Coturnix japonica: one gene and its partner. The protein of the gene in region 1 binds, or shares a complex with, the protein of each later gene. Links are inferred from orthologs where the notes say so. Each region holds a gene or a part of one and is shown on either strand. Other genes may lie near its edges.

Region 1 (5,118 bases):
ATTGCTGTGCTAGGCCCTGGAAGCAGTAATTCTCCAAGGTATTCAGGGATATGTGTTCTTGCTAAGCAAAATTCACAGCTGCTCCAATACACCTCATGTCCCTGCACATTGCTTCCTGATACCCTCTCCCATGGGTTGGGATTTCCCACCCTTCCAATGAAAACAGCACTTACTGTAGCACCATCCTGGAGCAGGCCAGCCCGCAGTCCCAGTGGTACAGCTGCTGAATGATGGGCACTTTCAGCTGCACACATTCACCTGCAGTGAAAACACCCCGTGTGAGTAAAATGTAAAAGCTGTCAGTCGTTATATGGGAATGTTTTTCTGTACTTCACCATTCCAATTCAGCTTGTTCTCAGCTCTGTATTCTGTGCCAACAAAAAGTCATAGGTCAAATGGGTAAAAAACAGACACAACCAGGATCTCTAGGCAGTGATTTCTTACAAGCCCTATGGATTTCAGCCTCTTCTACTGCCATGTCTTTTTGTGAGTAATTTTTTAAGGTAAGACAGCTCACAAATGACACCATCTGTAAAAGGGCCAAAGAAGAGAGACAAAACCCAATCTATATCAAGAAAATCTGCAATATCAGTAATTCATCCTTTGTTATTTCTTTACAGGCAGTAGTAGTGGTTTCAGTTTCAGCAAAGCCCAGATTGCTTGATGGACTGAAGTGCTTCCGCTTGGCATTGTAACTTCAAAGACAATCCAAGTGAGTTAATCATAAAAGGCTTTTCTTAATGACTTTACCTTCGATCTGGTACAGACCCTTGGAAACCTTTGCTAACACAGAGTCAGCTCTGCTTTCAGATGGGGATAAAAAGCATTCAGCATCCTGGGGGCTGCTGCAGTTTCAACACAGCTTTATATGTAAAACTTTATGGACAATGTCTTGCAGTTTTAAACTGTTTTCTCACTGAGTTACGGCTTATTGCAGCAACAACGCGGTGCACTTTCTCAATCACGTCACTGGGTTTAATCATAACTTTGAAAGCTGGCACACACCCATTGGTGTACTCAGTGTTTGTTAGCAATGTTGATTATACTTTAGAAGGACAAACAGCCCCTCAAATCCCGCTTGAAGGAAGTAATGTAAGCATTGGCGGTGTGTTATGAGCTGTGTTATGAGCAGGTCCATTCTCTGTTACCATCCAGGGCCTTCTAACACCACAACTCACTGTGGATGTCCCTGTTCTCCATACACTATGACTTCAAAGGTAACAACCAGGCCCAGCGCTGCCCGCTTCTCATCCCCACCCCCAACAGAGCTGTCACGGCCCGACCCGCGGCTGTAAACAAGGCGGAGCACTCTCAGCTCCACCAAGTGCTTGACAGGCCGCCCCCGATCCGAGGCCCCGGAGCTGTCACTGACCTGCCTGCGGAGGGGGCTCCCCCGGCTCCCGGGGGCTCCTCATGACGGCGGCCGCCCGCTCACTACCCGCCCCGCCGGACTTAGGGCCGCGCCATGCCCTGCTGCGGCGACGGCTCCTCCCGGCTGCGGAGGGGGCGGACCCCGAAGCGGCTGCTCGGAGCTGGGAGGGAGGGAGCTGCCTTCGGGAGGAACAAAAGTGCAGCGGAACCATCGTGATAAGGCAGCGAGACCCTGAGGGACAGGAGCAGTAGCAGGATCCGCTCCTGTGCCCTTCCGATTCCGGGGCTCTGTGCACGGCGGGAAGGCGGCGGCCATTAGGGTGGTTGGTGGGAGGTGAGTGTCGGTGGGGGTTTGTTATAGGGTCGGTTTGTTATGGGGTGGGTCTGTTGTGGGGGTTTGTTATGTGCCTGCAGCTTCGTAGGGCGGCAGATGTGGGCTGAGAGGGTGGGCTGCCCTCAGCCTTGGGCCGGGCCTTGGGATAGGCGTGTATTGCCAAAGCACTGAGGCCTTTGTTCAATGGAGCAAATCGGCTCCTGTAGGCAAAGCCGAACTGCAGAACGACTGGGAGTTTGTTTCCTTTATTCACTTCTATGTTGTGCTCTCTGTCCCAGGAGTAGAGCCGCAGTGTTGCAGCCATGTCCATCGGGGTGCCCATTAAAGTCCTGCACGAGGCAGAGGGCCACATTGTGACCTGCGAGACCAACACTGGGGAGGTGTATCGTGGGAAGCTCATTGAGGCTGAGGACAACATGAATTGCCAGGTAAAAGAAGTTTATCTCATCTGTTTGGAAGTGGTTGCACTCAGCAGACTGACAGCGGGATTTAAAGACCTTTTACTTTTAGTCTTAGGATAAATAAAGCCCTTTTACTCTGTGCACTTACAGTAATGAAGTGAATTCCAGATTACTGAGCACACCAAATTGCTCAGAATTGGGATTTCCTGTTCCTGGTTCCTCTGTGAGCACCTTCTCTTCAGCAGTTCTTTGTTTATTGCCTGTTGATAATAAATAAACTCTAATTTATGAGCTTAGAGCTGTGCTTAATGCAGAGGACTTTAAGGCATTGCAATAGCCTTAATTTTGATAACTTCATGCAAGTTGTAGTTGAAATAAAAATGTCCTTAATAGCTGGGACCAGTAAAACTTTATTTAAACTATCTGAATAAGAAAACAAAACTAATAAAACTAATTAAGCAAGTGGGGAGGAGGGGAAAATAGTGAGTTTGCTTAAATTTTAGCAAGCTTTAAGACTGTGTTTAAATGGTTATAGATGCCTTATATAACAATAACAGTTGAAGGCTGTATGCTTGATAGGGCTTTGAGTTTATTACTTGAATCTTGGCTATATATATATTCCATGAGCAGGAGTAGTGGGAGTACAAAACTATGTTTAAGGCCACTTAAAACAAACTGTGTTTGAGACCACTGTCTGATCTTTACTTTCCAGATGTCCAACATAACAGTGACATACAGGGATGGGCGAGTGGCGCAGCTTGAGCAGGTGTACAGAGGCAGCAAGATACGGTTTCTCATTTTACCAGATATGCTGAAGAACGCTCCTATGCTAAAGAGCATGAAGAATAAGAACCAGGGCTCTGGAGCTGGCCGAGGAAAAGCAGCTATTCTCAAAGCTCAGGGTGGGTACAGTGTGTTTGTGGTCTGGTGTTCCCTCTTTACCTTCCTGTTTTGCTGTACAGAAACTGAGATGTTTTCATCCCTAACACTAAGCAAAGATGAGCTGTAAGAAGCTGAATGAGTGACAGCAGTCAAAACTCAGACTGATGCACAATACTGATACTGCAGATAGTTCAGGAACAGTAAGTGGCCTTGCTAGAGTTAGGTAAAACTTCACCTTTGGTTTTCTGTAAATGTGGTTGCTGCCTGTTTGGATTACCCAAAGTATGATGATCTAAGTATTCTTAAGCTTAAAAAATATATATTTATATATATATTTATATATATATATATATATATTTATACATACATATATATATACACACACACACACATATACGTACACTTGGTTGATACTTTAAGTTTTTTAAATGAGTAACTGTTAGCCATTCTGCAGTTCATCCTCTTTAATACCTTTTTTGTGTGAACAGTCTCGTTATAACAAGATCAAGAAATAATCATGGGCTCTGAAGCCCTTGGTTAACTCTACCAAATGCAGTAAGGATGTGTGGGGGAGTAACATCTGACAAAATATAGCGAGTTCTGTCACGCTGTATGAAGAGCAGGAGGTCTTAAATCTCTCTGGCTACAGATTCACACAATTTAAAGTAGGAACAATGGTGTGTTACTATTTCATTGCTCTTAATGCATACTCTGTTATGAATAGCAAAGCTGTGTAGTTGTTAGTTACAGTTGTTTTCACAGAAAACTTCTATTTACTTTTATCACTTCCCAGGCCTCATACTGTAGCTTAACTTCTGTGCTTCTAAGGAAGAGACTGAGAGTTATTGATGTTTGGTTTGTCACTTGTTGAGATAAATGTGTTGCATCAAATTCATGTCATCCCTGATGTTTTCTTTCTTCAGTGGCTGCAAGAGGAAGAGGCCGTGGTATGGGTCGTGGCAACATCTTCCAGAAGCGAAGATAATTTTGGTCTTGACCAAAATGCTTTTTTTTTATTATTATTATTAAAGGGGCTCTTAACTTGTCTACATATATGTTGGTAACTTCTGTTTAATAAATGTTTCTGACAAAACCCTGTCTGCTGTTATATGACAGAGCTCCTCTTAGGCACAATAGAGTTCTGGCTTCTTTCTGTAGCTGGCAAATACGTTGGAGGTGGATTTCAAAGTGCGTTGTCTAGAAAACAGTGGACATGGATTTGATTTCTTTGTACTTTTGTGTGATGCATTGAGTTTCAAAGATCATCTTGCTTCCTTTTTGTTCAATACTGCTGTAATTTACCCTCTAAAGAGTTAGAAGTTATTCTTCATGAAGAATTTTTAATGTTGTTTTAAGGTTGTGTTATCACCTGCATTTACAGAGCAAACAGTCAAACTGAGGTAGCTCCTAGAGAAGCTTCGTATGGATCTATAATAAATACAGGTCCACCTTCGAAGCTGTACATTGAGTTTGTATTTCTTATTTCTCTCTTTGGATGCGGCGAAAACTTTTCATTAGGAGCACACAGCTGATAGTAGACAGACCATTTTAGCCTGGGTTTGTACTTGCCTGAGGTGATTTGATTCTGACTGTATTGGCAGTTACTTGTTTTTTACTGTTGCCTGGGCAGAGAAGCCTGAATATGGAAGAAAAGAAATAATTTTCAAGCATTGATTTGAAGTGTTTCTTATGAATCTAAATGATGTCTAGGAAAAGTCACAGAAATGATTATCCATTATGTAGGCTGACTTTTTGAACAGGACTTAGGCCTGACTTTAGCTTTTGCTAACATCTATACACGATCACGTAGTTCATAAGCTTATCTATAGGAGGCCAAGTTTAGTTGTAGCTTTAGCTTATTTTTGCTTCAAGTACAATGTAGTTATCTTAATTAATGGTTGAAATGTTTCAATTGGTCTCTCCTGTACCTAATTGTACACTTGCATACAGTCATCAGTCTATACATGTATGAATGAAACCTGCTTTTCTGCTCTGCTGTGTAAAGACCCCCTTTGTGCAGACATGGAAGTTGAACTAATGTACTCACTTGTTGAATTGTCTGTAAATAAAGCAGTGTTTGATAAGCAGGGTTTTCTAGTGAACTGTGCTTTTGGGGGGGGGAGGGGTGTA
Region 2 (5,113 bases), on another chromosome or scaffold:
GAGAAGTACTTTAGGAAGCGTAATGAGGCGGGAAGGGAAATCACCTGTGCCTTGTTTGTGCAACACACCCAGAGTGAAGATTCTGGATGAGGAGAACATGCGGCTGCATGAGAGCAAACTCCATCTCTCTGGCCACGTGCACACCTCACAGCGCGCGCTGAGGAGCATCCATGCTCCCAACACAGAGGTGAGACCCTCTGGGATGTCCTGATCTCAGCAGACTGGTGGTGGGAGCTGATGTCCTGCTGGGAGGGTCAGTGTCTGTAGCTGCAGTTGAGGTGCTGGAGAAGGGCTGAGCCAGTCATTTGGATAGAAAGGAGATGCCAAGTGTGCAGCAGACTGCATTGGCTTTGTTGGTGAGGAAGAACTTTTGGGGTAGCTGGTGTGGCGCTCAGATTATTATCTGGTCATGCTTGTTAAGCAATGAACTTAGGATGAAGAGTCCAAGGGTGATCAAAATATCCCTTTGAGGATAAGAGATCAGGAGCACAGGTTGTCTTCTTTAACAGAAAGGCTTTTCCAAGCATGTTAGCGGCAAAAGAAGGACTAAAGAAAACATTGGTCTGATGTTCAGTGAGATTGGTCATCTCACAAATGGAGATGAAATGAAGCAGAGACATTTAATGCCTTCTTCACCTCTTTATTTAACACCATTGATGGGCCCTGGGATCTCCAGAGCTGAAGCACTGCAAGCAGAGGGAGTGAATGATAAACCCCAAGTTGACTTTGAACTTGTATGGAATTTGGTGCTAGAACTGAACCCAGTTTGGAAACAAGTGGTTGCAAATGCAAGAGTACTTTCAGGACCTGTTTGTGCAGTCTGTTCTGTTTTCTTTCTTTCTGGTTGCTTGACCTGAGCTCTGGGGTTGGTTTCTTTGTTGTTAAGGTTCAGATTCAAAGGATAGATTTATGTTTAGTAGTACTGTAGAGCTGAGGAGCCTGTAGTGGAACGGGGGACGCCTTCAGGTCCAAGGCTGTATGTTGAAATTGAGGGTCTGACATGCACATCCCCCTTTGAAAGTCTCTGTTGTTCCAGGACTTGAAGAATGCCAACTTCTCTGAACGGCAGCTCCAGAGTAAGGTGTCAGCACCACCTCCCCGTGCCAGGTATTGTGGGTTAAAACAAAAAGGAAGGGGGTGGGTTACTCCTTGCCTGTGGGAAGGCAGGAATTGGGCTCAGCCATGGCCCTGTGCTGCCTCGCAGAGGCGCACCGCGGCTGTGCAGGCGGCAAGGAAACAGATAATGCTTAAAGTGACTGAAGAGCTGAATGTGTTTTTAGTTTCCTACCACGGGAACCACCAGACTCCCTCAGCAGCCTGAAGCCTGTGCTCGATTCCAAGCCTGAAGGAGGAGCTGAGAGCCAGGACTCGTCCTTCTGCTTCTCCCCCTCTCAGCCTTCAGAGATCGGGTACCTGAACGTCGCCTCACCTGGAGACACTGCAACCTCCCAGCTGCAGGAGGAGAGTCAGAGCATCAGCTCCGAGAACATGTAACCTGGGGACGATGTAAAGTGCAGGCTGCCAGGATTCAGGCTCCTGTTGTCATACAAGATTGAAAGAGGGAGTGTTGGCAGATGATAATTGGTGATTTCTGTGGTATCTCAATTATTCAACAGCTGCTTTCTTTAATAATTAACATGGCCAACCTTAAAGGTGTGTGTGTATCTCAGCCCAGAGCTGCAATCTGCAGACAGACAAAGAACGGGGGTGGGATGAGATTTATTTCCCTTCATCTGCACTCCCTGCTTTCCAAGCTTCCTCAATAAAACATGGACCGGTTTCCCTGTGCTGGGCCGTACCGCCGGGTTCCTCCCTTCCCCTCTGCTCTGTGCTGAGACGGGAGCGGCTGCCCCCGTGTGGCTGAAGGAGAGACAGGCAGGAAGCAGTAACGGGATCCGCGGGGCTCCATTCACTCTATGGGGCTCCATTCACTCTATGGGGCTCCATTCACTCTATGGGGCTCCATAGAGCGCTGTGAGCTGCCCGACCCGCTCCCTCCGCTCTACACGCCGTGGCTGCAGGCGGTTCCACAGCCGCCATGTTGTCCCGGCCTCCCCACCCACGTAGATGACGGGATGACGTCACACGCACAATTTCCGCTCGTCAGAGCGTGCGTAGCCCCGCCTCTTTTGCCCCACTTCCGCTTCCGGTTGAGGCCACCATCATGGCGGTGCTGGCGGCCAACCCCAACAACCCGGTGGTGTTCTTCGACGTCACCATCGGCGGGCAGGTGAGCGGCACGACGGATCCGCTTCTCCGGGCCCATCCCCGCCTCATCGGCTTCTACAGGCCGCAGCCGCTCCCCTTCGGGCGGGTTTAGGATCCCCGGCGGTTACGGGAGGAGGAGCGGGGGGAAGAGGCCTGGCTGGGGGGCGGGGGGGTGTGTGGGAGCGGGGTGAGCCGGCCGTGTCTGTGTCTGTATCTGTATCTGTGTGTGTCTATGTCTGTGTCTGTATCTGTGTCTATGTCTGTATCTATATCCATGTGTGTCAATATGTGTGTCTATATCTGTGTTTGTGTCTATGTAGGAGGTTGGCCGCATGAAGATCGAGCTGTTCGCTGACGTGGTGCCCAAAACCGCAGAGAACTTCAGGTGAGGAGCAGCCTCTGTGAGCACGGTACCGTTATATCGTGATATAAACCTCCTGAGCTCGTTACATATCGCAGCTTTCTCAGTATCTCCTCAAAGCTCTGTTGTGAAATGGAAGCGTTGAGTGGTTCCCATTGATTCCTGTTTCATCCCCATTGCAATAACCCAAGTCCTGCACAGCATTCATTGTTGAATGCCGCCTTTGTGCTCTCAAAGTTCAGAAGTGGTTCATACTCGGCTTTTCTCTGCTGTTTCTTTTCCAGGCAGTTTTGTACCGGTGAATTCAGGTATGTGGTTTATCTTCTCCTTTTATCTACCATCCTCAGACAATACTGGGCTGGGAAAGGGCTCACTTGGAAGGTTTCCTTACCTGTGTGAAAAGGGGGGATGCAGATGTCTGTGCTGCAAATTGCAGTGGGATCCTTTTGAGCTGATGAAATGGATGCTGCAAACAGCTGTGGCCATTCAGGGTTTCCCTTGGCCTCTGGTAGTGTGAAATTAAGCTCCAGGATGGGCTGAAGGAGGTGGGTTGGTTTGGTAGGTGATGTATTAGGCCTAATGTACAGGGCGTCCCTTTGGGGGTGTGAGCTCCTGGGAGGGTTTTGTGTTGGGACTTACTGTGAGTTGTAATGATTTTCCTTTTTATTTCCTTGTAGGAAAGATGGCGTCCCCATAGGTTATAAAGGAAGCACATTCCACAGGTGGTACTTCTGCTTTTGTTGAGAGACTCAGTAGCAGTAGGTGGCTTTGGGACCTGCCTCAAGGGCTTCTGCTGTCTGCCCTTTGGGTGCTGTCAGATACTGTTAATGCTCACAGATTGTATATACTGCTCACTGGTCGTATATACTGCTCGCTGGTCGTAGGCTGTAGTGTTTGCAGACATTCACAAGACATTTTTCTCCTGGGAACTAAGTATCATTTTCCTCTTTTAGGGTAATAAAGGATTTCATGATCCAAGGAGGTGACTTTGTAAACGTATGTACTACCACGTTGCTTTTGTCTTTGTCCTGTGCTGTACAGCACACAGCTCATCCTTCCCATGTTTTCTCTCTCTTAGCAGTACGATGGTATAACTGGGGGCTTTTCAAACTTGCAGAGGTTTTCTTTTCACCCTGTTGTCCTTCCTGTTTCTCCCATCCCCCCAGTAAGAGGCAGAGAATCTCCACTGTATGTGTGAGAAGAGATGCTTAAGTACACAAACCAAGCAGCTATTCCAAGGGATAGTACAAATCAAGTCAGGCTTAGTTATTTCAAGTTCACGATGCAAAAGTAAACGCTGTGGCAGACTAATTGCCTCTCTTGTGCAGGGAGATGGCACTGGAGTAGCCAGTATATACAGGGGTCCTTTTGCAGATGAAAACTTCAAGCTGAAGCACTCTGCTCCTGGCCTGCTTTCTATGGTGAGTATAAAATGAAGGCTGATAGCTTTTGGTGTTTCCTCTCTGCACTTTTCCTAACTTTATACATTGTATTTGGCAAACAGTAGGAATCTGCAGTTGGCTGGGGGGTCTGAAAGGCCTGTGTTTTAAGTAGCAGTCAGAAGGTTGCTCGTGAAGTGAGTCCTGATCCTCCAGAATCCTTTCTTCTTACCTGTCAGAGTTCAGGAACACGTTTTATTTGCTCAGCTTCCATAAAGGCTTGAGGATTGCAGATCTGGTACAGTGATGAGTGATGGGTCTTTTTCTTTCCTTATGCCTCTGTTGAACACTGACCTTAGCAAGGAGGAAACAAAGACTGCGGAGTTTCAGAGCCACAGCAGTGTTAGTGTGAAATCTTTTATAACGTTATTTCCCCAGTGTGATGTTGTAGCCAGTAAAGATTTTGTGTACTTGCACACGGTAGCAGGGCCTGACTTGATAATGCACCGTGACCAAGCACAGGTGCTGTCCTGCAAATGTCTGTCTTGTTTCCTTTGGTTTGTAAAGCAGTGAGCTCAATAAAATGTATCCAGGTTAGAGCTAAAGCAGCAGCTCTTTCTGCTGTGAGATGTCTCTGCCTTCAGCTTTGGGAAGTCCTAATTTGTATGCTTTGCATTTTGACAAATTCAACCTGCAGGCAAACAGTGGTCCAAGTACTAATGGGTGTCAGTTCTTCATTACGTGCTCCAAGTGTGACTGGTTGGATGGAAAACATGTTGTGTTCGGTGAGTACCTGCCGTGCAGGCCTGGCATACAGACTCTTACACAGTTTCTGTGGCACAGGGTCAAAAATAAGCAGCTGTGGATTTGCTTGTTCCTTCCCCATCCATTGTGCCAGCAGAGCTATTTGTGCAGCCAGGTATTGAGATGCGTCATTAGGAACATTTTTTTCTCAGCTTAACTTTAATCCAGATCAGATCCTGGATGGTTGTATCATTGTTAGTATATAAATCCTCATGCCAGTGCAGGTGGGACAAGGGATGAAGGATGAAGGGATACCTTCATGAAGGGGCTGGCATCCAAATGGAGCTTTCAGCTGGGTTTGTAGGTATGAGATGTGCTTTCAGAGGATGACTGACTACTTGTACTGCCTCTAGAGCTGTAA

The links. The genes of interacting proteins can lie anywhere in the genome.
Region 2: SNRPD3 (region 1) and PPIH share a complex: the UniProt entries of both Homo sapiens proteins name them as parts of the U4/U6-U5 tri-snRNP complex. The link is inferred for Coturnix japonica from reciprocal best matches to the Homo sapiens genes SNRPD3 and PPIH.

Annotation. Positions count from the first base shown.
Region 1 is NC_029530.1:7,447,252-7,452,369, reverse strand, and holds SNRPD3 (small nuclear ribonucleoprotein Sm D3), read left to right. Parts: upstream 1-1,588; 5' UTR 1,589-1,705; intron 1,706-1,983; 5' UTR 1,984-2,007; coding exon 2,008-2,133; intron 2,134-2,818; coding exon 2,819-3,008; intron 3,009-3,911; coding exon 3,912-3,973; 3' UTR 3,974-5,073; downstream 5,074-5,118. Other genes in the region: protein GUCD1, read right to left, coding at 174-258, 1,373-1,583. UniProt on the Homo sapiens protein: Plays a role in pre-mRNA splicing as a core component of the spliceosomal U1, U2, U4 and U5 small nuclear ribonucleoproteins (snRNPs), the building blocks of the spliceosome.
Region 2 is NC_029536.1:5,567,084-5,572,196, reverse strand, and holds the start of PPIH (peptidyl-prolyl cis-trans isomerase H), read left to right. Parts: upstream 1-2,095; 5' UTR 2,096-2,164; coding exon 2,165-2,230; intron 2,231-2,528; coding exon 2,529-2,593; intron 2,594-2,853; coding exon 2,854-2,877; intron 2,878-3,246; coding exon 3,247-3,291; intron 3,292-3,522; coding exon 3,523-3,565; intron 3,566-3,897; coding exon 3,898-3,990; intron 3,991-4,645; coding exon 4,646-4,733; intron 4,734-5,113. Other genes in the region: CCDC30 (coiled-coil domain-containing protein 30), read left to right, coding at 73-187, 1,037-1,107, 1,281-1,494. UniProt on the Homo sapiens protein: PPIase that catalyzes the cis-trans isomerization of proline imidic peptide bonds in oligopeptides and may therefore assist protein folding. Participates in pre-mRNA splicing.